3 linked regions of the Oryctolagus cuniculus genome follow. The protein of the gene in region 2 purifies or fractionates together with the protein of the main gene of each other region. This does not show direct contact. Links are inferred from orthologs where the notes say so. Each region holds a gene or a part of one and is shown on either strand. Other genes may lie near its edges. The genes, in order: DUSP8, MAPK9 and DUSP16.

Region 1 (9,408 bases), on a different chromosome or scaffold from region 2:
GAGAGCCCAGGTAGAGGTGAGGCAGGATGCGGGTGAGGCCCACGCTGGGCACGGGCAGGCAGGGCTGCGAGAGGCTCATGGGCAGCAGGGCAGCAGGCTTGCCCTCACAGAGGCCGGGGAAGCAGGAGGAGAAGGTGGCAAAGCCCCCTGCGGGAGGAGGGAGAGGGAGACGCGTGAGGCCACACAGCACAAGGTCCCCATCCACGCAGGGCTCAGCCATGCCCAGGGGGACCCCCGGCCCGCGCCCGGCCTGAGCACCTGGTCTCGGGCCGGAGGACAGCTCTCTCCGGGCGGGCGGCACCTGCTGTAGCATTTACAGTCTGCACCGGGAGACGACACCCACATTCCTCCCCACGCTAATTAGGGGCTGGCCCCGCGGACGACGCTGCTGTGATGCCCATAAAAATGTGGGCTGGAGGTGGCCAGCACGGCACGTGCTGGACCCGGAGGCCGTGGGGGTCTCGGGTGGGGGCGGGAGCCTCTCCGAGCTCTGGCACTCAGGCCTGTGGCCAGGCCGGGCCTACCCTGAGCTGATGCAATCCTTCCCTGCCTGCAGCTGGCCGACAGCCCCAGGCCCTGGCCTGGGTGCCAGGACTGCGAGGCAAGTGCTTGTGGGGGACCTCCTCCCCCTGGGGCATGACATCACCCCGTGGGATTGGCACAGCCGGCAGGGGCATTTGTGGTCAGGCCGCGGCTCTGCTCCAGCAGAAGACAGAGGCGCAGAGGCACCTGGGGCAGCAGGAGTGCCCAGGGCAGCAGTGGGCACCGGTTCTGCACACAGCTGGCACGCGCCCTGCCGCCGAGTCTTGGGCTACAGGCTGGTGGAGGGGCGCTTCGCAGCCCGTCCTGGTGCCTCCGACTCTGTGCCCACGAACAGCACGCCTCTGGCCTCGGCTTCCTTGTCCTGTATGAGTGGCCCTGGACACACCTGTCCTGGCTGGGGTGACCACTGACTCACACCAGAAACCAGGCAGTAGCCGTCAGCTCGTGACAGGGTGAGCCGAGACCTGCTTGGTGACTTCTGGGGCTGTTCACATTTTGGGGATACCAGCCCCACCCCTACCCCAGCAGGTGGGCTGCTGCTTCTAAGTTGAGGCATTCGCTACCCCTTGGGAAGAGGCAGGGTCCCAGGTCCCCCGGAGGAGGCTGTGCCGGGGACCTGGAGGTTTGCTGAGGCGCTTGGCCGTCATCCCTAGCCCAGCACTGCCGGAGAGCCCGTGTGCCGCAAAGGAAGGCGTGACTTTGGGGGACCCTGGAGATGGGGAGAAGCGGTCCCTTCCTCGGGAGGCTGCCGGGTGCACAGCGTGACTGTAGGCAGCAGGGCTGCCCCAGGTCCCCGGCCCCCAGACGCCGAGCAGGGTGCCGTGGGGCCCCGGACACTGCCACCCCCTCCTATGCCTGCCGGAGGTCAGCCCCCTGGAGGGACAGGGGCTGCGGACTGTCCTCCCCACCTGCCCTCCCCTCCCCCTCAAAGTGAGAGGCATGGGGAATCCCAGCGGAACCCCTGTCCCCCAGACCCAGGGAGCTCTGGGCGCCAGTCCTGGAGGGGCTGAGGTGACAAGGGAGGGGCATAGGCCAGAATGAGTGGCCGGTCCTAGGCCGTGGCCTTCCTTGGGGCCTGGGAAGGCGCTCCTGCCCCCAGGTACTCCAGGAGTTCATGCAAACCCCTGAGATGGGTGCAAGGTGCATACACCAGAGGTGGAATGCACGTGAGTGCACACAGACGCGGGTACACGCGTGCGGTGACGACCACCCTGCAGACACCCTGGCCTAGAGGGGTGAGGCCCTCGACTCACACTACAGTCACGGAGAAGGGGCAGCCTGTGTCACCCTACCCCTGCCCACCGCCCAAGGCTCCCAGATGATGCTCAGGCCCCTGGGCAGCCTCCCTCACAGGCAGGGTGGAAGGTCCCACTCCTGTTGGCCGCCGGAGGCAGAGGGCTGGCCCAGCTGTGCCTGCACCTGTCAGGAGCCCAGTGCCTCCATTGGTGTGTGTGTATGGGAGGTGGAGACACCGTGTGCAGCCTTCCACACGCCCCACTCCGCCTGCCACAGCCCTGTGGTTGGTACACAGAGGCCAGGGCATGAGCGTCAACAAAGACCCCAGACCCATGCGGGGGAGGAGGTGTGTCCCTGGGACCTGGGCCACCTCCAGGAGGGGATTCCATGGACGTGTGGGGGGGCTGGCTGGCCAGGCCATGTGTAGACCCTGGAGCCCTGTACTGGCCCCTGGGCAGCAGGGTGGGACCGGTCCCAGCTCACAGGGGGTTCCCAGAGAGGGTCTCTCCCGGTCGCTCGCCCCTGCACAAGCGAGTCATTCTCAGGGATCCCCCTGCTCTCCTGCCTGGGCCCCTACAGACGTGGCCTCCGCAGACGCCCTCGGGCCCTGCCACGCTGCAAGGGGGCTGCGGAGAGGGAGGCTCCCCGGAGCTCACCTGTGAGGATGGCCACGCTGTCAAAGCAGCCGTCCAGCTTGCTGAGCAGGATGGAGAGGAAGCTGTCGGCGGCCAGCACGCTGGCGTCCCGCGTGCTCTGGTCATAGACCACCACGTCCTGCGGCTCCGCGGCCTCTACCTGGGGGCCGTGAGGGCAGCGGTCAGGGCTGCCTGCACCTGTCTGACAGCCCAGCCCCCTGCTGCCACCCACCCACCCCTGCCCAAAGAAAGGGCTGCTGCCTGAGGGGATGGCAGGTGCCCTGCCCACGCCCACACACTCTCTGCCTGCTGGGGGCACAGGTGTGCTCACACCTGGATAGGTATAAATGTCCAGGCCCACACAGATAGCCACAGGGTCGGGGAGGCACAGAGAGGGCTCGTGCCCTCTCCAGCCACACAGGGGAGGGGGGACACGTGTGTCCCCTGTGGCCAGGCTGGCGTCAAGCAGATGCAGGTGATGGCTGGGGGGGGGTGCACCTGCTGGGCACCAAGAGTGACAGGGCACATGGCCGGGGCCTGGGCACAGGCAGAGGAGTTGGGCAAGTCTTTTGGGTGGGGGTCTCGCTGGAGCTGCTGGGCCTCTCCTTCCCTCCTCAGCCCCGTGGAGACCCTGAGGGCTGCAGCAGGAGTGTCTCCCACCCCCACTCCGGAGGCAGCAGCTGGAGGCTGGGGTTCCTCCTCCCCTCCCCCACTCTGAGGGAGGGGCCATGGGGCCAGATGTTAAGCGGCTTTTGCTCAGAGAGCAGCGGCCACCCCCCCTCCCCACCCCAGCACACTCAGCCCTTAAGCCAGCTGAGCCGCCAACCCGGGCTGGATGATGTCACCAGCAGCCAATAGGCTCACACTCCGGCCTGGAGTCCTCGCTGGGGGTGATTAATCACCAGATTCCCCCCACTGGAGCGGCAGGGAGCCTGCTGTGGCTTGGAGTGGGGGCACAGCCAAATGCACCGTCCCACCTGGGACCAGGTCCCGGGCTGCCACATGTGCCCCGTGCCCCGCCGGAGGCCTGGGGGGGGGCACCTGCACGGGTCCCCGGCCCCGGCCTCCTGGCCCCCTTAGCTGGGCGGTCCTGGGGAGGAACGAGCTGGGACAATGTTCCCTAAAGACTGCAGTCCCCTTGCCAGCCCCCCACCCTGTCCTCACAGGTCAGAGCAGCTGCGTCCAGCTGTACCCCTGCGTGGTCCCACCTCCCTCTACTCAGCAGGCTCCTTTCTGAGCCCTGTTTGGGCCTTGGGGGCACCGACCTGCCTTGGGTGTTTGGAGGCAAACTCGGGGAGCCCGGGACCCCCAGGTGGGGTCAGCAGGCTCAGGAAAGAGGGGGCTGGGGAGATGCGGCAGGAGGGCCTCCCTGGAGGAGACACCTTGCAGTGCTGAGGAGCACGTGGGGAGTGGGGGCAAGGTTCCCCAGTGACATCCTGGAGCCCGGCTTCGCTGCCTGGTCCCAGGCCCCCGTTCAGCTGTGGACTCCGGTGCGGCCACGGCCGGGTACCTGGCTGCGCACGGCCGGCTGGATGAGCTCGGCGATCGTCACCTTGCCCTGCTGCAGCCGCCGCTTCACCAGCTTGGAGCAGCAGATGTTCACGGAGCTGAGCACGTGGCAACTGTTGTATTCCACGAAGGAGCGGCTGTCGATGACCAGGGGCCCCCCGGGCCCGCCCCGCAGCAGGCTGGCCAGCTTCCTGGCGTCCATCACCTTCCTCGGGAGCCGGTCCCCGGCCATGGTGGGGCAGTGGGCAGGCTGACCCCCGGAGTGAGGAGGGTGTGGCCTCGCGTCCCGAGTGCCCTAGCGCATGGCAGCAGACCTGAGGGGAGAAGAGGGCGGTCAGAGCTCCCGGGGCTCCAGGGATGCACCAGTGTCAGGGGCCCCCCTCCCCGAGTGTGACCTGAGGCCTCATCGCATTGGGAGGGTCCGTGGGAGCCCTGCCCAGCTATCCTGCAGGCCTCTCAGCAGGACACGGCGGGGCCAGGTGGGTGGTCTCAGGCCGGGTCGGGCCAGGGGGAGCTTCCACGGGGCCCTGGGGCTCACTGACTGACAGTTCCAGGACGGCTCATCCACACCTGGATGCAGCCCTCTCCCTTCTCTGGTTCCGAGGCTTCCCAGGGCCCCTGGCAAAGCAGAGAACTTGCCTGTCGCACTCCAACCTGCCTCTCCCCGCCTCGGCATCTCCCCTGCTCCCCACCACCAGCCTAGTGTGCACAGCGGCTGACCTAAGCCGATAATCCTGGTCACAGTGGGGACTGGACTGACGGGCTCCTGGAGGAGGGTGGGAGGGCTGGGCACTGTGATGGGGGCCACTCCTGCCTCACAGAGTGAGGGCAGCCTTAGGACCAAGGTCAGTGTACCTGGGATGCTTGGGGTGCCGGGGCTTTCAGATGGCTTCAGACACCCTCAGGCTAAGGGGTGCATGGAGGAAGTAGGAGGAAGCTTGGTATCTGGGGCCCCTGGCAGCCCCTGCGCCCCCGCCCCTGCAGGGCCCAAGCTCCCCACCACTTGCCAGGACTGGCCTTGCTCTAGGCCCACCCGAGCCTCACAGCCCCCAAGGAGACACAGTTTGAATTAACTACGGGAAACTGAGGCTCAAGGCAGCAGTAGGAGAAACACAATGTCCACATGTCACCCATAGCAGCCATGATGCAGCTGACCCCAGGTCGGCATGCCCTGCCCACTGCTGGGGCAGCTCCCAGCCCCTCCGCGCGGTGAGCCCCGGCCCCTCTGCTCGCCTGCTGGGGTCTCTGTGTCCAGTCCCCGCCACCTCCCCTGTAGCCTGGGGTGCCTCCTGCTGCCCCGTGGGCCAGTGAGACAGGGTAAATCTACTGAGGAACGTGGCACTTCTGAGCGGTGGGCAAGGATTAGGGGTCGGTTCCCAGACACTTGCCCTCCAGGCTGCACCTACAAGGGGCTCCCGGTCCACTGAGGGGTCCCTGCCTGCCCTGGGCATCTCTGCCCTGAGGGGGTCCCTGCCCAGTGAGGTGACTCCTGGAAGTGGTGACAGGCCACAGCCACTTGCCCTCCACACCCCCACCCCTGCCCAGCACCTGAGAGAGCCATAGTGGGGAGGGGACACCAGGGAGCCAAAGCCTCAATGTGCTCATCTGCTAAGTGGGTAGGTTGTCCCTCAGCTCAAACAGAAGCCAGCAGGACCCCCAGCACAGGGCCTGGCATCCACACTGCCCGACGTGGGTGCAGATCTACCGATGGGCATCGAGGCCAGCGGAGGGGGGCACCTGAGCCCTAGCGACAAGGCAGGCTGGGGGCAGGGGCTGCAGGGGGGCGGGAGGACTGGCTCTGGGGCCTCGTACCTGGCTGGCCCTGCCTCCCCAGGAACACTCGCGCTGGAACGTGGCCCTATTAACCACCCTAGTATTGTTATTTGCAGCCGAGGGGACTCATTAGCAAGTTAGCACCTCCGTTGTCGCCATGGCAACAGCAGAGGCACCAGGCAACGGCTGCTCCTGCGGCTGCAGCCGCCAGCAGGATCCTCTGCAGTGGGCAGGTCATCCTCCTCCGTCCTCACCCGCTGCCTCTGCCGGCAGGCCGGGGACCCCGTGGTGACCCCCAGCCCTACCCTACCCGGTGCTTCCCAGCCCACTTGCATCTACCCCCTCAGAAGCCTTCTCTCTGCATGGAGGGGCTGGGCTGAGGCTCCTCCTGCAGGGCCTGGGAGGGCAGACCCTTCACCCCTGGCCTCCCACGGATGCTACAGATGAGGGCCCCAGCAGGTGGGGGTGGGGGAGCGGAGACCCTCGGCACAGCCCGGGCAGGTCAGCCGGTGCAGAACAGGTCAGATGGGCTTCCGTTCGGCCCGGGTCTCCACTTTCAAGGACAGGAGTCCAGCTCTGGCGCAAGCTCTGTTGGGCCTCATTCCTGGGAACCCAGGCCCGACCTGAGACCCTCACCAAAGCGGCTCCCAAGTCCAAAGTCAGCAGGAGGCCTTCCCGGCCCCTCTCCCAGAGGCCAGGGACACAGCACGGAGGCTCCAGTGCAGAACACACCCCTTTGTGCACTGACTCTGCACGCGGGGCTGGTGCTCACTTCTTGCCCACAGCCCACGGGGTCTCCCGTGCAATTAGACACGCGTGTGGGGAATCCAGGCACACACGTGCTGCTGCACACACGTCCTCAGAACCTTCTGAGAACCCGGGGACATCTATGCTGGGGGGGGAGCTCCAGGGCAGCCCACACACCCCGTTCCCACACGCAAGGCCTCCCTCCATGGGCGACACTCACGTCCCTGGGCAGTGAGTGGCCAGCAACGATCTGAGTGCCGGGGCCATCCCCAGCTCCCCGCTGCTCAGCCTAGTGACAGGGAGCTCACTACCCTCACACGGCCACTGCCAGGACGGCAGGCCCACGGGGAGACAGGGCTGGGTCTGGCAGGCTCAGCGGGTCACCAGCTGTGGCTCGTACCTAGGCAGAGCCTCGGAAGGCAGCCAGCAGTGGAGGGACCTGGATGCCGAAGTGTCTGCCGACGCTGTCACTCAGGGATGCCACCGGCTCCGCCCCATCCCCTCTCTCCAGACTGCCCCAGTGCACCTGCCCCTGCGGTTCCCAGGGGTGAGCATGCCCCCCACCCCGGTCTCTCTAAACCTTGACTGGGCCAGTGGCAATGCCCACCAGTGCCAGCCTGGGCTTGGGGAGGCCATGGATTTGGGAGATGGCCGTGGGGGGGAGTGGCACGGAAAGTCCCTGGGAGCCCTGGAGCGGGGCACAGGCCGGGCCTGGGGTGGGAGGGCTCCGCACAGGGCCGGTGGAAGCGGAAGCTGGGAACTTGACCATACCTGTTTGCTCCCCTCCTACCTGGCCCGTTCCAGTCCCACAGAGCTGAGGGTTTCTGCTGACCACAGCTCCCCCAGCAGGAGCTGACGGCTCCCAGAGGCACCTGCACCGCCGAGCCGCAGCCTGGGCGGAGGATGGGGCTGCGAGAGACCCTGGGCCACAGACTGAGGGCAAGCACCTTGGGGCATCTCTGTTTGGGGAGCCCTGGTCCCAGAGTGCTCCCTGGGGACGAGGGAGCAAGCAGCAGGAGGGAGGTGCTCCAGCCAGACTTCAGAAAGAACGCCTAGCCCTGATCACATGATCGGGCCCGGGTGTGTGTGTGTGTGTGTGTGTGTACTGTTATCAGCTGGGGAGAGTGCCTAGGACTCTGTCCTCCCTGTGCAAGGCCTGGCGTCGTCATACCCGGCTGCCCTGGAGCCAGCTCTGAGGGTGCTCTGGGTCCCCACCGAGGCCAGAGACGGGGCTCCCTCTCGGACCCTGCGGCACCCCACCCCCACCCAAGCCGCCCCTCCTCCACCCCCACAGGGCTCGCAGCCCCGCCACTGCGGCACCACGGCCCCCAACGCCCCCAGCCGCAGCCGCGACACCATTGCAGCAGTCAGTGGGAAGGTGGGGGTGCGTGCGGGGCCTGCTGTTGCCCCCACCCCCGCACGCCAGACTTTGGGGTACCCTACCTGGGCTGCGCCCTCCCCTCCCTAGGCAGGAGATGGCCCGGGAGGCGGCCGTGGGCAGCCTGGACGTGCCAGCCCCTCCCCCAGTACCGCGCAGACGCGGGTCTTTTATTCCGCAGAGGCCAGTAGAGCGCGCGCCGGGGTGCGGGCGGCCCGGCCCGAGGGAGACGGGATCTGCAGCCCTGTGGACGTGGAAGGAGCCCTCTTCTGGGTCCTCCCCAGCCCAAGGCCAGGACCCCGCATTCCCCCGGCCCGCTCAGGATCCGGGCGACTGTCTCCAATTCCGGCCCCCAACGAGGGTGCCCTGGTGCGCGCGACAGGTCCACCCTGGACCTCCAGTGGCCCTCTGGGTCTCCGTTGTATTCACCCTCCTCCCCCACCACACACACACACCGTCTGGAGGAGTCGCCGGCAGCAGGCGACAAGCGACCACCGGGTCGGGGTCCGCGGCGCGCTGCGGTCGGCGGGGGCAGGGCTTCCAGGTCCGCGGCAGCCTCGCGATCCGGGCCGGGTAGGGCTGTGCGCTGTGGCCCGAGCCGCTCTGCGCCCGCCGCCCGCTCCCCGGCGCCCTCCAGGCGCGGGGTCCCCGGGCTCTCCCGCCCCGCGTCGATCGGCCCCGCCCGGACGCCGCCTCTCGCACCCTCAGCCGTCCCCCCCCGCCCCCCGCCTTCGTCCTGGCCGGCGCCCCGCTCACCTCGCTCCCGCCCTCCTCGGGGCGCACCGGGGACCCGTGCCGCGTTCAGGGCGCCCGCTCGGCCGCGCCGCCCATGGGCCCGGCGGGGGCCCGCGCAGCCGGGGCAGGGGCCAGGGGAGCGCGCGGGCCGCGTCGCCGTCGCCGTCGCCGCCGCCGCGGGGAGCGCTCGCTCGAACCGGGGCGCGCGCACTGCGGGCGGGCACGCGCGCTCGCGGCGCGCATCCCAGCCCCGCGCTCCGCGGGCGCGGCCGGGCTGCTCCGGCTCGGCTCGGCTCGGCCCGGCGTCCAGCGTCCGGCGTCCGGCGTCCGGCGTCCGGCGGGGCGGGGGCCGCGGAGCCGGCGCGGCCGCGAGTGACAGGCCCGGGGCGGAGGGCGGGGCAGCCGGCGGGGATGAGGTCATGCCGAGCGAAAAAAGCCCCTGACGTCACCTGTAGCCAATCAGCGCGCGCGGCTCGGGGGCAGGTGACGTCAACCGGAGCCCGGCTTTGGGGAAGATTAGAGGCGCGGCCGGGGGGCGGGTGCCGGGGCTGCCCTGCGCCCTGCGCCCTGCGCCCTGCGCCCTGCCCGGCACGGGCTCTTAAAGGGGCCACGCGGCTCCCAGATCGAGCGCCAGGACCCCTCCTCCAGGAAGCCTTCCCAGCCCCAGGGCCCTGCGGCAGCCGAGGGGCCGCCTGCCCGCCCCGCCGCGCTCCTGCCGACCGTGTCCGCGCGAGGGTCCTCTCCAAGCCCGTCCGGAGCGGCGCCGGCGCCGGCCTCGCTCCCGCGACCTCGCCTTTGTTCGGGAGCGCCTTCCCGCGCCGGGCGAAGCGTTTCCCCGCTCTCCCCACAACC
Region 2 (10,044 bases):
TGCAGGTCCATCTCCTTCCCCCAGGCCATGAGCTCCCCAAAAGCAAGGAGGGAAAGGCGTGAAGCAGTGCAGGGAGAGAAGGCTTCCTGGAGAAGGCAACACCAGAGCTCAGGCTTGTCCACGGTATCAATCAAGGCGCGAGGAAGCAGGTACCTTCACACAAGCTGGTGAGAGCTATACACTGGTGATACACACTGGTGAAAGAATACATGCAGTAGCTAATGTAAACTTTAAACACACAGGAGTTCTAACCTGAAAACTACAATTCTATGAATGTATCTGACAAATACATGTATTCAAACATTTGAAGATATCCATGGAAGGGTTTGTAGTACTTTTTTTAAAAAGATTTATTTTATTTGGAAGACAGAATTACAGAGAGAGGTTGAGCGGGGGGTGGGTGGGGGGGTGGATCTTCCATCTGCTGGTTCACTCCCCAGATGACCACAACCGCCAGAGCTGAGCTGATCTGAAGTCAGGAGCCGGGAAATTTTTCCAGGTCTCCCATGCAGGTGCAGGGACCCAATGACTTGAGCCATCTTGCACTGCCTTCCCAGGCCACAGCAGAGAGCTTGATCAGAAGTGGAGCAGCCAGGACTAGAACCAGCTCCCATATGGGATGCCGGCACTGCAGGCGGTGGCTTTAATCACTGAGCCACAGCGCCAGCCCCTGTAGTACCTCTTTTTTAACAGGCAAAACACTAGAAATAACCTTAAATACACACTGGGTTGACTAGATGATGGCATATAAGTAGCATAAAGCCATTACATGGGAGGCGGGGACCCCGTGTACTGATCTGCAAGGTATCTCAGATGTATAAAGGAAATAAGGCAAGTTGGAAAACAATGCACACATCAATGCCAATGTACATAAGAACACCCCCACACACAAACCCACAGCCTATGCCAGGAAGCCCAGAGAAACAGCGGGAAATGAGAAACTTTCACTCTTCCCATGACAACTTTCTGTTCTGTTTTTTAAACCGTGCACACATTTCACATTTAAAAATGGACTGAAAAGTTTTTCATGAAAGCTACGGGATAGTGGTTCTGCAAGCTGTATGGTGGACAGGTCGGAGACAAGACCGGAAGCAGGAGAGTGGGCCAGGCTTTTATAAGTTACAAACAGCTTGTAAAGGGTTACTGTCCCCACTCTGCCAACAAGGAAACTGAGGCTTGGAGACAGTCCAGGAGTTGCCCAAACTCCCAGCACGACCCAGGTGTGAACTGAGGCGCGTGTGACCCACTCAGCGCTCTTCCATCTAACTGTGTTCAGGAGGTGAAGCTGTGTGTCCCAGAGCCGGAGAGGAGCAGGAGACACTCGGGCATTCCCATTTCACCCTGGTGGGTTCTCCCTGCCAAGATGACGCTCAGGTACACCTTCAGTCACAGCAGCCTCCCGAATACTCAGGACACACACTATTGAATTAACTGACGGCCAGTCACAGGGAAAAGCAGACTCTCACAATCCCTCTGCTTCAGCACCCGCTGCTCAATTTCTTAGTGGTTCCACTGCCCTATTTTAATTCTTATGAATAGCTTAACACAACAACTTAACAGTTCCTAGACAATCAAGACCTTCTAGCCTCTTGAACCATCAGTTCTTAAAGCTATATCATTTACTGCAAGACAGAAAATCAAGTAGCATTTGGTTTTCACTTCACCCATCATGGGCTCCAAGGAGCGAGTGTGATTCCCGGCCTCCTGTCCTGCTCAAAGGGACCTGGGCTTTCTTGTTATTCCTCTCTGGCCTTGCTCTCAGCACTCCACAGATGGGCAGCAGAACTGCTCTCTCAGAAGCAACTCCTGCTACTTCCAAACAGCCACAGCACGGCGTTCGAAATGGGAGGAATGGAGGGAGGCCTGTCCACACGCTAACCTGTACACGACTATCACAGCAGCTTTGTCTATACCAGGTCCTTCAATGGGTGAATGTACAGCCACATCATGGGATACTTCCCATCCTTAAGAAGACACACACTACACTAAGGGGGATCTCAAGGACATCCCACAGTCCTGAACCTATGGAGTCAATCAACAGCACATCAAAATGTCTTCAGAAACTGTACTGAACACGGACAGACTTTTCTCTCGTTGCCATTCTCTAAACAATACAGTACAACTATTTACATAACACATCGCACTGGGTATTCCACATCATCTGCAGATGACTTACACGGGATGATAGGTGCATGCTAGCAAATGCTATGTCATTTTCTATAAGGGACTTGAGCACCCATGGATTTTGGGTATCTGGGTGGCGGGAGTGGAGGGGTGTCTAGAACCTAGTCCCCTGAGGGTACTGAGGCACGGCAGTACTCAAGGGTAAGAAGGCAATCCCAAGTCATATATATATATATATATATATACACATATACTATATATATAGTTCCATGTATACCATATTCTTGAAATGACAAAATTACAGAGATACAGGAGAGATAAGGCGGTTGCTAGGAGTTGTGGATGGTGGGGGCCTAGGGACGGTGCGGCTATAAAGGGGTGGGGCAAAACAGTTCCATGTCTTGATTGTGGTGGTGGTGGCTGTCACATGAATAGCCGCATGTGATGGCAATAAGCTGTACACACGTTACACCAGAGCCAACTTCCTGCTGTTTGATATCTACTGAGCTAAGTAAATATGCAATCAGGGGGAAGACTGGGTGAGCGGCACCTGGGACCCCTCTGTATTGTCTCTGCAACTTCTCATGAATCTATACTTTTTGCAAGATAGAGAATTTTAAAGAGAGAGAGATTTGCTGAAAATATGCAGCAATCATACCATTCCCTGGATTCCTTCAGGAAGACTGGAATCCTGATCAGCACAGCACGGGAGACGGCAGGCCCTCTGATCTGCTCTTGGGCAATGTCAGCCACCTGGGGTCAGCAGCCCCGCCCAGCTACTGGACACCTTCAGGACTCTACCTCAGCTGCTCCATCTGCCTGAAATGACTCCCCTCCCCTCCCCTGCTCCTGGGTAACCTGCATTCTCTTTTGAGCACCTGCCGCTCTTGCGTTTCCCTCCACAGCCTTTCCCTTCACGGTATGCAGGATGTGCCCTCTTCCCTGCCTTGTCCTGAACTTGTTTTCTATTGTACCACCAGTGAAACTCTTGCTTCCATCCTGTGAGCTCCTTATGAGAGAAAATCGTCTGACCTATTTCTCAATATCCTGCTATTAAAGGGCATGCCCAGTAAATGTTTATTCAAAGATAAAACTATGTGGGGAAAAAAAAATGTATGGGGCAATGGTTAAAATCAGGATGCAAGAGTCAGATCCCCTGTGGGTCTGCTACTGATCTGAGTGAGCCAGAGCACATGCCTGCAGCCATTTGAGAAATGGGGATAGACACGATTCTTGCCACCTCCAGAGGGAAGAGCCCAGCTTATCTCAGGAGGCCAGGGCACAGGAGTGCACCCTGAGTCTGACTTGCTGGTTCATCCCCAAATAGCCACAACTGCCCAGGCTAGGCGAGGTGGAAGCCAGGAGTTTCATCCACATCTCCCACATGGGTGGCAGAGGCCCATGCACTTGGGCCATCTTCTGCTGCTTTTCCCAGACCATGAGCAGGGAGCTGGATCAGAAGTGGAGCAGCCAGGAACTCGAATCAGTGCCCATACGGGATGCCGGCGTCACAGGCAGCAGCTTTACCCTCCACACCAGCCTCGGGTCCCTACCTCTTAGTGATATACAAGTATATAATGAAAAACTCATGGGTGAAATAACACTTAGGATTTGTTTAAAAATACGGGAGGTAACTGTGTACAGATAAGAGGCTACCAATGAGGCAAAATCAGCCAGGGTTTCTAACTGTTGAAGCTGGATACCGTTCTTTTTGTGTCTTTTCAGAGTCACTATCATAAACAGTTAAAAGACTAATGCTGAAACCTTGTTCATACAATCAAGTACAAATGATTAAGAATTAATTATTAGGTGGGAGCCAGCGCTGTGGTGCAGCAGGTTAACACCCTGGCCTGCAGTGCCAGCATCCCATATGGGTGTCGGTTCGAGACCCGGCTGTTCCAATTCCCATCCAGCTCTCTGCTGTGGCCTGGGAAAGCAGTGGCAGATGGCCCAAGTCCTCTCTCTCTGTCTCTACCTCTCTCTGTAACTCTTTCAAATAAATAAAAATAAATCTTTAAAAAAAAGAATTAACGATAAAAATATAAAAATGGAAACTTTCTTGCCAAGTGTGAAGTCCAGGTACATATTTAGACCAAAAATAGTTGCCTTGCAGCCAAATCAGCACTTCTTAAGAAAAATCCCTGACTTCTAGGTTACCTGAGACATCAGGGAATAACTGGTTACTAACAATCACTTTGCCTGATATTTTAGCCAGAAACCTGATTTTATTTTAAATAGAAACATTCAATTCTACTCTTTAACACTTATTTCAAAGTTATGCCCTTTCACTAAATTATTTTAAAGTCCCAGGATCCTGAAAGTTAAATCCTCAGGCAAATGAAAGCTTTCCACAGAAGTCTATGCCAAAATAGGATTTTTTTTAACCCCACTGGTTACTTCTGAAGAGAATAAAAGGTTAAATGGAGGAAAGCATTACACAGATTGAGTGTTGTTGTTTCAGAACGAATTAGAAGCCAGAGGAGCACAGGCAGGGCTGGGGGCCCCAGGGAAGCATCGTCTTGTGAGGGATTGTGCTGCAGAGCAGGGACTCTGGGCTTTTCTTCCTCTGTGAAAACAGGTGTCTTCGCTGCTCCTTCCAGGGCCCCAGGGACAATTCAGTAAGCACCTGAGCAGGCCGGGCTCCCACCCACAGTCCGTCCTGGAGGACCACAATCCCGCAACCAGGCTGAATGAGGTCTGTATTTGGCTAGGCTCACAACAACAACAACAACAACAAACAGCTACTGCCAATATTGAGAAATCAGGAGAGTGCAGGTGCAACTGTGGATTGAAGCTTCTTTTAGAAAATTGCTGGGCGAGGGGCTCCTCCTCCAGGGTCCCCACCACTACACGCTCCCACACCTGGCCAACGCCACACAGCGTTAGGTTCCTTCCTTGGCCCTGCCCTTTCACACTCTTTGCACCTCTCCTGGCCTGGCAAGCGTGGAGGCCCACCAGCACCACCTGTTGCTCCACCCTTCCGCAGGCATCATCCACTGTCCTGGAACCAACCCTGTGCGTCATGCCTTTTCCACGGGGCTCCCAGGCTCTCTGGGGGAAGGGACCCTGTCGCTCTCTCCTTTGTGTCCCTAGGGCCCAGCAAAAAGCATGACCTAGATAATGGAGAATTCAGTGGCTGTCTCCTGGATTTACTAGGAGGTCGTTAGAGCTAAACCATTATAAAGATGTAACATTTTATATCATAGCTCGTTACCATAGTTACCAAATAAAGAGGTCAAGGACGTTAAGATGTTCTACAAAATGAGAACAAGCTTCCGAGTTTCACAAGTCACTCAGAAGTCACTAAATGAACAGGTAAAGCAGAGACAACAGGTAGGCACGCTCCTTACATCATTCATTCATTCGCTGAACTGAGACTATCAAATACTTACTGTATGCTTTCTATAAGTACCAGGAGAAAGCAGACAAATCAGACAACTACCTGTTTACAGAAAGCTACAGCCTAGTGGGGGAAGACAGAAAAGGAGAGGCAAATAAATAGAACAGTTTCAACTCAGAGTGCTAGGAAGAAAATGAAACAAAATAACAAGACAGAATGATCCCTTGCAGAGGGTAGCCGAGGAAGGCCTCGCTGAAAATGAGACATCTGGACAGAGCAAGGAACAAAAAGGTCCTGGACGCGACGTAAACAGGAGAGGCAGCAGGTGCAAAGTCCCGGGGACACGGAGGTTAGCAAGTTCCTGGCAGGTGGGAGGATTAGCGGGCCCAGGGAGCAGTGCTCTGGGGAAGAGCTGTGGTGGGCAGGGCCTGCTCCGCGTAGCTGAGCACTGGGCGCGCAATGACAAGGCACAGGATGGGTGGGGAGGGGGCCCCCACCACACTCACGCCAGCAAGGGGCAGTATCCGGCCCTATAGTCCACCAGTGTGCACAGACTTGCGTCCAGGTGCTCCCACAGACAGCCCAGTCTTGAAGATCAGACATGGCCCCACTTTCCCGAAGGGGCAGCCAGCGCCTAATCCAAGGTCGCGGGGACCACCGAGCATCCGGGGCGAGAGGGCAGCTGCGCGGCCCGCCTGGAGGAGGGGGCCACAGACCCCCGCGGGCAGGTCTGCGGGGCCAGGTTCCGCGGTCCTCGCCGCTGGCAGCGGGCGGGAGGGGGCGACTGCGGCACGGGCGGGCAGGGGCTGCGGCCCGCCAGCAACCCCGCGGCTCCCGCCAGCCCCGGAGGCCCGGCCCCAGAGGCCCCGCGCCCACCCCGCTCCCCGCCGCGCCCGACCCCAGCACCCACGCCGGGCCTAGCCAGCCCTTCGGGCTCACCTCGCCTCCCTGCAGCCGCGCCGGGGTAGAGGGCGGGCGGGCGCACTGGCGGCGCTGCGCGCTGGCCGCTCCCGGCTAGGCTGGCCGCCCCGCCCCGCCCCGCTCCGCCCCGCCGCCGCCGCCGCAGTGGGTGTGAGGGGCGCGGGGCGCTTCGACCCTTCCGGTCGGCTCCCTTCCCCTCAGCCGCCGCCGCCGCCGCCGCCGCGGCGCCCGGCCTGACCGATCCGTGACTCCACCAATCAGTGCGCGGAGAGCCCGGCGGGTGCGGCCAATCGCGCTAGGGGGCGGGCCGCTGTCGGGCGACTCGGGCGGGGCCAGGCCAGGCCGGGTCTGCGTCCGAGGTCTGGTGCAGGGTCCGGAGGCGGCGTGGGGCAGTGCCGGCGTGTAGCGGCGTGTAGTGGGCTGGAGAGACGGGCGTGGCTGAGGTCGCCCGATGACCCCTCTCTCCGGGCAAAGAGGGTCCGCAGAGCTGCGGCCGAACGCCGAGCCGGGAGGAGGCGAGAGAGGATGGGCCGCAGGCGAGGCGCGGCGCCTCAGGACCGGGGCTACTCGTGGGTCCGAGCCCCGGGGCTGCAGGTGCAGGCGCCCAGCAGCGAGGCGACCTGGAAGGAGACAGGAGGAGGGAGGCGCGGCGCCTGGGACTCAGCTCGCTGCGGACGTGCCGCACGCACGCCCCACTGGACGGGTTTAGGGGTGCGGCCAAAGGTCAGGGTTCAGGCGCAGGGTGCGAGGAGATGACCGTCGTGCACCAGTCTTCCCGGCCGACAGGAGCAGGAGGGAGTGTGCTGGCTGACAGGGCTCAGGGGGAGCAGAAGGGCCCCCTAGGGACCGGACAAGTACAGCTGGGATGAGGGGCGGAGGCGGGGCTCCCCGAGGGAAAAGCTCCGAGGCCAGTCGTGGGCTAGGGGCGTCGGATTTCGGGCACCGATAGAGTTGGGGACCGTGATTGATAAGTGGTGAGTAAGGAGCTGGGGCAGCAGTCCCGGGACGCCGAGGTCCACAGAGCAGGGGGAGTAGCAGGACCCTGCAGGTCTGGGGTGGAGTGTTGCAGAATCTGGGGAGAGAAGCGAGCCTGTGACCCAGGTTCTGAAGGGCCGGGCTCGTGCAGGCACCACGGCCTCAGAGGAGGGGTGGGGCAGAGAACGGGATCTAGCCGTGGTGTCCTCCCATGGCCGCCAGGGGGAGTTTTCTAAAATTGAGTATCACTAATCCCGGCTCCTGAACGTGGTCTGCATTGAAATGGACCCATCTGGTGGGCTCCTGCCACCTGCCTCAGCTAGCTGCTCAGGAGAAAACAGGGAACCTAAAATTGCCGTTACTGAAAAAGATGAGAAACTAGTAAAAGCCGGGCTATCAGAGATGAGGTCCCAACAAGGAGCAAATGTGCATAGACACATCCCCCCAGGCTGGGAAGAGACAGTGGATTTCCAGAGGCACTTGGGCCTGGTTTTTAGCAGTCACCCGGTGCACGGTAAGTAACCTAAGTTTGCTGTCTGTGCTTATGCAATTAGGCATATGTCACTGAGGTTTCTGTAAGAATTCTGGTTATTCCTGGTTTGTCCAACACAGTAGACATTTGTGGACACAGAGCTGGGGGGACGTGGGACAGGGCAGCTGGTCTGGCACAGAGAATCCTGATTGAGGCCTGCAAGCGTGATATGAGCCAGGCAGGACTCATGTGTGTGACTGACACCAGTCGTACCTGCCAGCCAGGGAGAAGCAGGGGCAGCAGCAGAACTTCCAGACAGGAGGAAGCCCCTGCAGAGGCTGGGCAGGCAGAGAGGGCACTTGGGCCCCGAGGCTGAGCAATGAGGAGCCATGTGCTATGTTCAGGAACCTGTCACCTGGTCTTGCTGGCGATGGGGCAAGCGGACTGGAGAGTTGTGGGCCTGAGGGTGAACTGGCACTGCTGATTTGTGGCACAAGGACTCAGCTCTCCGACAGCTCTGGTTTAACCCAGAGCACTTGTTGATGTATTTCATTTTTTAAAAAAGATTTATTTATTTGAAAGAATTACACAGAGAAGGAGAGGCAGAGAGAGAAGTCTTCCATCCACTGGTTCGCTTCTCAAATGGCTGCAGTGACCGGAGGGGAGCTGATCTGAAGCCAGGAGCCAGGAGCTTCCTCCAGGTCTCCCATGCGAGGCTCCTGGTTTCAGCCTAGCCCAGTCATGACCATTGTGGCCATTTGGGGAGTGAACCAGTGAATGGAAGGTCTCTTTCTCTCTCTGTCTCTGTAACTGGGACTTTCAAATAAAATAAATCTTTAAAAAATATTCTTTTTAATTCCAAAAATTACAAAAGGCAAAACTTGAATTTGCCAGACAAGGAGTACACCTGTGCTCAACCCACTCAAATATGTGATATGTACATGTTGCATTAGGTATTACAACAAATCTAGAAATGATTGAAAGTACACAGGAGGGTGTGCCTGGGTTCTCTGCAGATAGCATCCTGTTTTACAGAAGCGACTTGAGCATTTGTAGGTTTTGACATTTGCGGGCTCCTCTACCAAGGGACAATGGGATGGCCTAGTTCTGAAAACAGAGGACAAACACCCACCAGTGAGTCAGCAGAGGGCAGCACTGGGCTAGGCTGAAACCGGGAGCCTGGAGCTTCCTCCAGGTCTCCCACGTGGGTGCAGGGGCCCAAGGACTTGGGCCATCTTCTACTGCTTTCCCAGACACATCAGCAGGAAGCCAGATTGGAAGTGAAGCAGCAAGGACTTGAACAGGTGCCCACATGGGATGCTGGCAACACAGGTGGTGGCTTAGCCAGCTATGCCATAACACTGCCCCCCCTCCAATATTTTTGATCCGTGGTTGGTTGAATCGATGCCTGGGTGACAGAGGTGGAACACTGAGGAAAAGCAAGAGAACTATGAGCACAAAAGTCAGGATGGCCACTGCCTCCTGGACGTGAGGATGACACATTTTCTAGATCTCACCCAGATCAAACATCTCAGTCGTTGTATCAGCTGTGCTTTGCTTAGGAAGAGGGATTCTGGCAGGAGTCCCTCATTAATTTGTTAGGTGCGCTAAGGATGGAGGTCTGGGAGTGCTGCCGTGGCTTCCGGTTCCCACTGGTTCTCCTGAGCTGGATTTGGAGGAGCCACAGGAAATCTGTTCATCTCCATCCATTGCTGCTGGGAGTACCAAAGGGCCATAGTAGAACCTCCTGTCAGTTGGACCTACATTTGTTCTTTTGTTTTTAAGATTTTTTTATTTGAAAGGCAGAGGTACTGAGAGAGATGGAGAGCCAGAGATCCCTTCCATCCCCTGATTCCCGTGGTTCATTCCCCAAATGGCTGCAACAGCCAGGGCTGGGCCAGGTCAAAGCCAGGAGCCTGGAATTTCATCTAGGTCTCCCACATGGGTGGCAGGGATCCAAGGACATGGCCCACCTGCTTTCTCAGGTGCTTTGGCAGGGAGCTGGATAGTAAGTAGAGCAGCCAGGACTCAAACCAGTGCTCATATGGGATGCCGACATCATACGCAGTGGCTTAACCTGCTGTGCTGTAACACTGGCCCCTGAAGCAGCATTTCTATTTGCCTCTGTCAGAAGAGGAACAAATATACATGCTCCTCAGTTTGCAATGGGATAAGTCTGGGTAAATCCACCCTAAGTTGAAACTATCCTAAG
Region 3 (10,169 bases), on a different chromosome or scaffold from region 2:
TTACAGTGTTGACATCCCACTTGGATGCCAGTTCAAGTCCAGCTGCCCCACTTCTGATCCAGCTCCCTGGTAATGTGCTTTGGAAAGCAGCAGAAGATGGCCCAAGTCCTTGGGCCCCTGCCAACCACACGGGAGAACTAGAAGAAGCTCCCGGCTCCAGGCTTCAGCCTGCCCCAGCCCTGGCTGTTGCGGCCATTTGGAGAGTGAATGCAGATGGAAGATCTCACTCTGTCTCACCTTCTCTCTCTGTAATTCTGCCTGTCAAATAAAGAGTTTTTAAAAGTTCATGGGGAGGGCCGGCGCCGTGGCTCACTAGGCTAATCCTCCACCTAGCGGCGCCGGCATACCGGGTTCTAGTCCCGGTTGGGGCACCGGATTCTGTCCCGGTTGCCCCTCTTCCAGGCCAGCTCTCTGCTGTGGCCAGGGAGTGCAGTGGAGGATGGCCCAGGTGCTTGGGCCCTGCACCCCATGGGAGACCAGGAAAAGCACCTGGCTCCTGGCTCCTGCCATAGGATCAGCGCGGTGCGCCGGCTGCAGCGGCGGCCATTGGAGGGTGAACCAACGGCAAAGGAAGACCTTTCTCTCTCTCTCTCTCTCACTGTCCACTCTGCCTGTCAAAAAAAAAAAAAAAAAAAAAAAAAAAAAAAAAAGAAAAGTTCATGGGGGAGAAGGCATTTAGCCTAGCTGTTAGGGCGCCTGGATCTCATATCAGACTGCCAGGATTCAATTCCCAATTCTGGCTCCTGACTCTAACTTCTCCCCAGTACAGACCCTGGGAGTCAGTGGTTATAGCTCAAGTAATTGGGTTCCTGCCACTGACATGGGAGACCTGGAACAGATTTGTTGGCTCCTGGCTTGGCCCCAGGCCCAGCTCTGACTGTTGAGGGCATTTGGGAGGAGAGAACCAGCTGATGGTTTTCTCTACCTGTATCTCTCTGCCTCTCAAATGAGTAATTTGAAAAGTTTATGGAAAATTCTCATTATCTTTTCATTCTATTTCCTCTCAAACTTTGTGAAGCCCCTTGTGACTTGTTTCTAGATTATCTTGTTTTCAGGTCTGGGACCCTTTGCTTTGCTGGTGCCCTAAGTATATCAGCTGTTCACCTGCCTTGGGGAATCCAGCCCTCAGTCATCACTCTAAATGTGGTGGAAAGCTGGTTTAAGCTCGACTATGACCTTCAAACAGGACATCTTAATGGTAAGTTAAACATGTCCCCCAGGTATTGAATTTTAATTTCTGTTTCCACAGTTGTTAGCATGTGTAGAGGGTTTTTTTTTAAAAGTAGAACAAGGAGAAATATACTCTTCAGTAAACTCATTCAATGTTTTCTCCTTAACCAGCTTGACTAGTAACAAGCTATTTATTCAAGTACCTTCCTAGTGAGTCTCTCAATGTCTTAAATTTAACTTTGCTTCTAACCGCTAAGCCCTCCTCTCTACTACCACTGCAGATGTCTACCTGTCTCTCACCTGAGCGCACCTTGTTTCTTTCATCCTGTCTTTGTTCATGCTTTTCCCCTTTGAGAATAGTTCCATCCACTGACCCCTTCACCACAAACTAAATATTTTTAAACTATTTTTATTTATTTGAAAGGCAGAGAGACAGAGGCGACAAAGATCATCCCTCTGATGGGCCAAAGCAAGGAGCCCAGGACACAATCTAGGTCTTCTACATGGGTGGCGGGGACTCAAGTGCTTGAGCCATCCCCTGCTGCCTCCCAGGATGTGCACTAGCATGAAGGAACTGGGTGTAGAACCGACACTCTATCATGGGATGTGTTGTTCCAAGAGGCATCGCAACCGCTGAGCCAGATGCTTGCCTCGCAAGCTAAATCTTACTGTCCTTCAAAGCGGGGTGGAGGTGGGGGGGATGAGGAGGGCACTACAAGCTCTTCGTAAGATGTCTTTCCTCATAGTCCCAGTCTACATTGTTCCTCGTGACTCTTTTAGCACATATTGTATGCCACTGAAGTGTTGGCTTTTAATGAATTTTAAACCATGTCTCATTTCTCTAATTAGACTACACACACAGGGGAGGCTTCCATAATACCACACCCATGGAAAACATTCCAGCTGAATTGTATCTGTGAAGAAGGGGCAGCGAAGGAAGACTGTCACTTAAAGGAATGTTTGTAAAGGGTTCTGCTGCTTTCCTAGTTGCACTTGCAGGAACCGGATAAGAAGTGGACCAGTCAGGGCTCGAACTGGCGCCCATATGGAATGCTGGCATTGTAGGCAACGGCCTAACCTGCTATGCCACAGCGCTGGCCCCATAAAGGGTATATTCTACCATAGATTCATTTGAGTCTTCCATTCAGGCAAGATCCATGCCTTCCACGTCTCTCAAAATCCCAACATTTTGGAACAGTTGTTTGGCACAGTGGTTAAATGCTATCTGGGACACTACGTTCCATATTGGAGTGCAAGGTTTGAGTTCCAGCTCCCTGCTAATATGCACCCTGGGAGGTAGCAAGTAATGATTCAAGTGGTTGGGTGCCTGCCACCCATATGGGAGACCTGGCTTGAGTTCTAGGTTCTCAGTTTTGGCTTGAACCAGTCCCAGCTATTGTGGGCAATTGAGGAGTGAACTAGTGAATAGGACATCTCTCTCTCTTTCAAAGAAATTGGGAAAAAATGCAACATCTTCAAATAAGTGGATTTGAGATGTAGATCCTTTCCATCCAAACAGTTCTAAAAACGATAGGCCTATGTTTTTAGTTTGTGTCCCGAGTACAGATAACCCTAAAGATGCTGCAGTACCACCTCCTGGCCACCAGAGGACCCGGAGCAGCCGGAGAGATCGCTTCCCCTCCACAGGCGTCTTCAAAGGGTCAGAGGCTGGAGGTTGGTTTTCCTCTGTGGCCTTCAGGCCTTGCCTATTGCCTGAAGGGCTGGGCTCTCTCCCACCTCCAAAAGCTGTCTCCCTCCCCACCCACTGTCCCCCTCTAAAAGACAGACTTACCTCATTATCCCAGAGGCTTACTCCATGACCCTAACTTTATATCATGATCAATTCTAAGGAATGCACTTCAGTTGCGGAATTTAAGTAGTAAACAGAGATGTAGCTTCTTTCCAACCCCCGCCAAAACCTGCTTAGTCCTTTCCCCGATTAATGAGAACGTCCCCGAGGCAGCGTCCACGTGGAATACCCAGCACAAACAGCGATTTTAAGGGCCAACGTCCCAGGTCTGCTGCATGGCAATGCAATGCTTTAAGAGCGATGATTCCTACCCATCGATCTTGTCCCCCCCCCCCCCACGGTGCTTTTCCGTCATTAATCACATCTTTGTTATGTGATATCCACGGGAGGACTGCTCAGTGGCGGCAGCTTCACGCTCAGATGCTCAAAGAACCCTGGAATAAAGCTCCGATTGTCCTATTCAGTGACTCCTAGTCCTACTTTGTCACCATCTCAGGGCTCTTTCCGAAGTGCGCAAAGTCTCACAACAAAGCTATTTCAGTGACTTTAAACAAAACATTAACAAGCTTCAGGTGCGTGGAGTTCGACCGCCGAGGGTCTTGCACCTCACAAGTGGCAGTGATTTAAAGCTAATTCTGCCCTTGCCTAATGTTGAAAGCGACAGCTAGGCTGCTTGTACTTATATTAGTAAATACAACCCAAATAAACGTAGGAACATTCATGGGGCGCGGTGGGGGGGGGGGAGGCGGGTTGGGGGTGGACGGTATGCCTAGGACGAGCTGAATGCCTGACAACCCTTGAGTGATTTTACTTCAAGTACCTGCAATTTCTCTTTCCTGCCATTTGGATTCCGGAGGCTTTTAAAGAGAGATTGCAATTCCTTTCAGTCCTTGTTTGCGTGTCTTTACATTGCCCGGGCAGCAGGAAGCAGCCCAAGGAGGAGCAAGAGGCGCTGAATCTGGCTGGGTGAGGGGAACCCTCAAATACCGACTGCGGCGCGCGCGGCCGGGACGTCGGTGGCCGCGAGCCTGCGGGACGGGGGGAGGCGGAGGAGGAGGACGAGGCTGCGGGCCGCCTCCTCGGCCAGCGCCGGCTCCTCCCCGCAGCGCCCGCGGAACCTGCCTCCGAGCGGCCCAAGGTCTGGCCGGGAACGTGACCCGACCCCTCCCCGAGCTGCCGAAACGAGGCGCGGAGCCGCGCTCCCGGCCCGGGCGGCCGCGGGATGGGCTGGCGGGCGAGCGCGCGGCCCCGCCCGGCGCCCACCGCCCTGCCCTCGCCTGTCTCCTCCTTTCCCCGGGGCTCCGCTGAGTTCATTCACTGGGATTGGTTTCAAGTGACGCCATCTCTTTATTTTTAAACCAATGACCTCATCCGCGCTTGAAGTTTCCTGACCAGCGACTCTTTCTCTTTCCCCAACCCCCCACCCCACCCCCCCGCCTTTCCCCCTCTTTCTGTGTATCCCTGTTTGGGGGGCTTTCGCCAATTTTTAAAGGATTATTAGCACCTTCCCTTCCCCCCGCCGTTCTCCCCGCGCGGCCCCCCACCCCCCAGCTTTCCCTCCCCAAGTTCTTCACCCCTCTCGACATTTTTTTTTTCCTGAAGGCTAACTGGGGAGGGGGGTGGAAGAGAAAGAGTGAAGAAAAGTTGCAAACGTCTCCTCGCTTCTGAGTCTCCCGCCCCCACCCGCCCCTCCGAGGAGGAGAAGCCTCTGTGGTGAGAGCCGAGGAGCCGGACAGAGCGACGGACGGGACGGGTCGCGAGCGGCCCCGCAGCCGCCCTCCCCGCTCCGCGGCGGCGCCTCGCGAGCCCGGGAGGCGAGGGGGCCCGAGGGGAGACGCGGTGACAACGCTCGGTTCTCTCAGAGGGGAGTCGGGAGGCCGGCGGCCCCAGAAGTAAGTGGCCTCGGCGGGGCGTGCGGACGGGAGGGTGCGGGGCTCGGACCGGCCGGCAGGGCAGCATGGACGCTCGGCGGCGCGCCCCGACTCGCTGTGCCGGGCGCCGCGGGCTCTGCCTGCCCGGGCGTCCCGGTGGGGGCGACCGCGGCCCGGAGCCGCACGAGTGTCTGACGCGGGGGTGTAGGCCTTGCTGGGGGGGGCCAGCGCCAGCGGGAAGAGGGGCGTGCGGGCAGGCGCGGGGGCGCTCCGTGCGTCCCCGGCGCGGCGGGCTCGGCTCGAGCCGACCCCGCGGAGCAGCAGCGACGGCGGCGGGACTCGCGGCACCTTCGCGGGCGAAGCTGCTCACTTCCAGGCGCGACTGTTAAACAACACGCCTGCCAAGTGGGGCCCCGGCCTGACTGTTCCCATTATCCCAAACGCGCTGGTGGTGCAGGCAGCGAGGCCACCTGGGTGGTGACCGTGCTTTCTTAAATGAAGCCAAGCGACCCCCCCCCCACCTCCCCGCCACCCCCAGACCTCAGTTTTCATCCTGGGGCTCGGGTCGTGGTGTTGAGGGGGCCCGGCGTGCCGGTGATTTCTTTACCACTGCTGTAAAACGTGAGAAATTAAAATAGCCCAGGGAGGCCCCCGAGGATCCGTGTATCAAGTGTAGTTCCAGGCAATAAAACAGTACAGTGGGGGAAAATCTATGTGCAAAACTACGTTTTCAGGTGCTGGGTTTATTTTCCCAAGAAAAGCGGTAATGAGCCTTGGGGGTCCGGGGGCGGCGGATTGCAAGTCGATCTTAAAATGAATGGACACTGCAAAACCCCTCAAGGGGCTTATTCCAGTGCACTGCGAGGCTCCTGGGCGGGTTCAAGTCCCCGGTGTCGCTGGTTGTTTGGAGAAAGCACACCTGATTAGCCCATGAGGAGTCAGGTAGAGGAAAAACCTGTTGCATAACCTCGTTTGCTGTGAGGTTTGCTGTGCCGGCCCCTTGAACTAAGGGGAAGTGAGTTAAGATGCGGGGTTTTAAAAACACGGTGAAGTTCTTAGTTACCCAGGGGCCTGGCTGCCACTTGGCTTTGAAAGATTATAGGTAAATACTCTGCTCGTACCGAACCTATCCAACCTGTTCAGAGAATGACCAGGTATGTTTCTGTCTTCTTTGCCTTCCGTGTGTGTGTGTGTGTGTGTGTGTGTGAGAGAGAGAGAGAGAGAGAGAGAGAGAGAGAGAGAGAGAGAGAGAGAGAGATTGATTTACCATCCATGAAAGACCTTGTGACTATTTGGGGAACTGGGACTGTCAGAAAAATGCTGCTTTCTGCCATTCACTGTATGGCACTGATTGAAGGTACACGTAGGTGACAAGTGTTTCCTTAAAGGATTTGTACTGTTTCAACTCCATCAAGAAAAGAGAGCTTCACAGTGAAGGGAAATTTTCAAGAGAAGAAAAGCCTTCTTACCAATTAAATTAACTATTTTTTAAACTGTTTACTTTTCCTTGAGGATGGCATAGGTGGGTGGACCCAGCTCGGGAAGCTGTAATTAATTAAGGCTTATGGAGTTCTGCGTTTGGTGAAGGTAGCAGCTTGTAAAGTAAATTGAAAAACTAAGAGTTTATCAGCTTTGGGTGGGTGTTCTGATCAAAATGTGACTAGGCACTGTGACAGTTTTTGTTTTTTGAAAGAAAGTTGTGGGATTCGCTGAGTATGAAGACTGGAAGATTGCTATTTAAAAAAAATTTTTTTGTTAACATTTGGCATATTATGTAAATAATCTGGGTTAAATAACACCAACTTCCAAGGGTTGGTTTTTAGGTAAAATGTTTATACCTATCAAGGTTCCACAGAGAATTAGAAATGAGTATGTTCAATCCTTAGTGAGTACATGGAAATACAAGGGTACTTCAGCACATTTGTGGGGGAAAAAGGAATTAAATGACAAGTGTTTTGGTGCAAATTTTTTTTGAAACACCTTGTTTTTCATAATAGCATTTTCCATGAACTTTTTGAAGATCCCTGGTCAGTAGGTTCAAGCACACTATAAATCTACATTCAGATGTAAAAGATATGTGTGAAGTGTGATACTGATATTTACAGATTTTTAGTTTTAACTCTGGTAGGTCAGAACCTCCAAGTAAAATAGCTGATCTGGCTTAAAAGTGTACTTAACTTTTATGTAAGTGTTTGAGATTATGCGTAATGATGGAGGAAGCAAGGAACAGACAAGGAGTTACCCTGTTGGCTCTCTTTTCAGTTTGAGAGGACCTTTTTCTTTGCTTCAGTTTGGTGAATGCATTTGAATTCCTGTAAATTAAAAATCATCATGGAACTTTGGGAGTTAGGGATCTCTTTGTCCAAAAGCTTAATGGTAATAACTGAGAAAGGGGCAAAAGAGAGCCTGTCAATTCAGTTCTTGTTCTTTTTCCTAAACATCTAAAATTATTTGTGGCTTGGTAGGAATAGAAGTGAGGCTGAGATCAGGATTCAAGAGTAGGTATGAGGAGAGTGCAGTTTAAGCTGGGATCATTAGAAATGACAGGGCTGATGTGAGTTTGTTTTGATGCTGTTTTCTCTAAGTGCTTATATTGGGAAATTCCATAGAATTTTTAGTGTTTGGGATTCATTTATTGATGCACACTTACGTAGTTGTGTTTAAAGTTTTTCCTATTTTCAACTAATCATAAGATCTTAACTGTAATTTGTTAGAATTACCACCGTGCTTTATCCTAGAACCCCAAGTTTCTTGGAATATCTGACAAAAATGATTTTGTTATGTAGACATTGTGTTATGTAGACATTGAGTGTTTTTAAAATGCTTTGCATTCTAAAGCAAAAGTTACTTTTGATCCAAGAATAAGTTTGTATGGGATAAATTGATTTGGATCAGAAAGTCAAGAAAAGTAGTGGATAAATCAGGGAAAACAGAAAACAGATTTTCAGCAGATTGAAGGAACAAGTTAAAAAGCAGAGTTGATACTTATTTTTTAAATTGCATCAGGTTTTAAAACTGAGGGACATAACCTGCCATTGTAAAAAACATCTTGCTAATGTTGACATAAGCAAAAAAAAAATACAATGAAGACAGTTTTCCCCAAAGCTACATATGATATATTCCAAAGCCAGATGTCAAACTTTTTCTGATTTTCTTGTATTGTGGGTTACCTTTTTATATATTTCATTAGCCCAGATAGCCAAAGATTGGCTTGTGTGAAGGGAGATTCCTAAGGTTGGCCAAATTTAAAGAGACAGGCTCAGGCTTTACAGACTGGTTGGGGGAGGGATGTTAAGTTTAATCAAATAAATGGGGAAATCACAGTACCTCAGAAGAATAGAAGACAGATTACTGAGGACAGGTACAAAGAAATAAAAGCTTGCCAGAGGCATGATAATTGAAGAAGGAAATGGGATACATTTTGACTTGAAAGGCAAAAAAAAAAAAAAGATGGAAAAATACCCTTTGTTTGGAGTTGGAAACCTCATTAGGTATCACCAAAAATGATAAGATTGTTTTATTATATAAAAATTTAATCTTGGCAAAGGGGGATAAAATAAACTATGAGCATAAATTATGTGAGAATATAAAACTTGATATTGTCAGAGATAAATTTAAAATAGAGGGAGACTGCCATTTTACTGCCTATTTTGAGTTATTTGGAAGGGAGGAATCAGTTTTAAAGTTGAAAATAGTAACTTGATTAAATGAATTTCTGGATTAACTGCAGACATAAAGCAGTTAAGTAAAATGTTTTTTAGTGGTAATCTATTTGCATGTGCTGAGGTGGATCCCAGGAGTTGGGGACAGTTTCATGTACTTAATGAGCAAGGTTAAGAATGTTAAGAGAGGTATATATATATGCCAAGACGAACAGTTACGAGACAGCTGGTAAGTGCAAAATTGATAGTATAAAGAAAAAAGAAATTGGAAGGTGCAGGGAGGTAATCTTTGTGGAAATAGTAGAATTTGACCCTGGCCTTAAATGATAGTTAACGAGTGTGAGGAGCAGGGAAATGGAGGCGGTCAAAGAAGGAAGCTATTCATTTAATCATGAATGGATTATGCTGGGCATGTACTAAGTGCTAGACACTGGCCACACAGTGGAACATAAGATAGAGGTAAGATTTTTGCCCGTGTGACATTAATAATCTAGTGGGAGAAGACAGGAGGACAGTAACAAGTAAACAATACTTGAAAAATCTGAATGTCAGAGTCAAGGGAACTATAGAGAACTCCTTACAATTCCATCATGAACAGTATTTATTAAAAAGGTTGTTGAAAAGTTTGTGTGTGTGTGTGGGGGGGGCAGGCTTACGGGCCAGTTAAGACACAGTTTGGGACACCTGCATCCCATGTTGGAGTGCCTGGATCCGAGCTCTGCTCCTGATTCCAGCTTTCTGCTGATATGTACGCTTGGAGGCAGCAGGTGATGGCTTCCGTACTTGGATCCCTGCCAACCACAAGGAGACCCTGATTGAGTTGTAGGTTCATTTTCTGTGTCTTGGCTCAGTCCTGGCTTTTGCCTCATGATGTGTGGGGAGTGAACTCGTGGATGAGATCTCTTTCTCTTTCTCTTTCTCTCTCTCTTTCTTTCTCTCTCTCTCTCTCTTTCTCTTTCTCTCTCTTTCTCTCTCTCTCTCATATCTACCTCTGACTCCCTATATTTCATAAAAAACAAAATTTTAAAAAGTCTATAATTCTTTGCTATTTACTAAGTCATTTTTTTTTACAATAAGGTTAATAACACTGTTTACTGTTAGGGTTGTGTTGGGTTTTATATTTAGGTTAGATTCTCCATTGGAAATAGTAATCAAAATAATGCTATAGAGTGAAGCTAAATTCCCAGGACAGTTTGTTTTGTGTGAAGGCTCAGAAAGCCTAAGATGCGCAGATAGTATAAGTAAGCTATTGGGCTTACTTACAGATAGGTTAAAAAACAGGATGAGGGATGACATACCTGACTAGGTCTTGTCCGTGTGATACAGGAGTTGAGTGATAAATTTGTGCTCTATATGCTTAATTATATCTCCTTAGAGATTTGTAAAGGAGTTAATGATATCACTGAAAATATTATCTTATTGTTTCCTGTTTTTCTAGCAGTAGTAGAAACCTGAGGCAAAAATGTTCTGAAGTGAAGACATTGGGATTCTTATTGTGGTTATCTGAATGGCAGATTTGTTTTGTTGTTGATTAGAAGGTATCCTTTGTAGTGTCACATAAAAACTTTATGACATTTTCATGTTTTGGGGGTACATTTGTAACTTGAAGCACTGTCTTTCCTCCCCCTTCTCTACTCTCTTTGCAGTTTTAAACTAAAAAATAATTTTTAGAGATGAAATTAAGATAATTCCAAAAAAGTTTTATACTATAGTATG

Evidence for each region.
Region 1: the proteins of MAPK9 (region 2) and DUSP8 purify together in Homo sapiens (affinity purification with mass spectrometry; 4 studies listed by BioGRID and IntAct, with this or other methods). This does not show direct contact. The link is inferred for Oryctolagus cuniculus from reciprocal best matches to the Homo sapiens genes MAPK9 and DUSP8.
Region 3: the proteins of MAPK9 (region 2) and DUSP16 purify together in Homo sapiens (affinity purification with mass spectrometry; 6 studies listed by BioGRID and IntAct, with this or other methods). This does not show direct contact. The link is inferred for Oryctolagus cuniculus from reciprocal best matches to the Homo sapiens genes MAPK9 and DUSP16.

Annotation. Positions count from the first base shown.
Region 1 is NC_091432.1:1,912,872-1,922,279, reverse strand, and holds the start of DUSP8 (dual specificity protein phosphatase 8), read right to left. Parts: upstream 8,911-9,408; 5' UTR 8,578-8,910; intron 8,513-8,577; exon of another isoform or gene 8,277-8,512; intron 7,691-8,276; exon of another isoform or gene 4,563-7,690; intron 4,238-4,562; 5' UTR 4,156-4,237; coding exon 3,925-4,155; intron 2,575-3,924; coding exon 2,436-2,574; intron 1,396-2,435; exon of another isoform or gene 314-1,395; coding exon of another isoform or gene 259-313; intron 148-258; coding exon 1-147. UniProt on the Homo sapiens protein: Has phosphatase activity with synthetic phosphatase substrates and negatively regulates mitogen-activated protein kinase activity, presumably by catalysing their dephosphorylation.
Region 2 is NC_091437.1:67,211,421-67,221,464, reverse strand, and holds the start of MAPK9 (mitogen-activated protein kinase 9), read right to left. Parts: upstream 6,598-10,044; 5' UTR 6,404-6,597; intron 1-6,403. UniProt on the Homo sapiens protein: Serine/threonine-protein kinase involved in various processes such as cell proliferation, differentiation, migration, transformation and programmed cell death.
Region 3 is NC_091440.1:110,207,669-110,217,837, reverse strand, and holds the start of DUSP16 (dual specificity protein phosphatase 16), read left to right. Parts: upstream 1-4,673; 5' UTR 4,674-4,812; intron 4,813-5,007; exon of another isoform or gene 5,008-5,945; intron 5,946-10,169. UniProt on the Homo sapiens protein: Dual specificity protein phosphatase involved in the inactivation of MAP kinases. Dephosphorylates MAPK10 bound to ARRB2.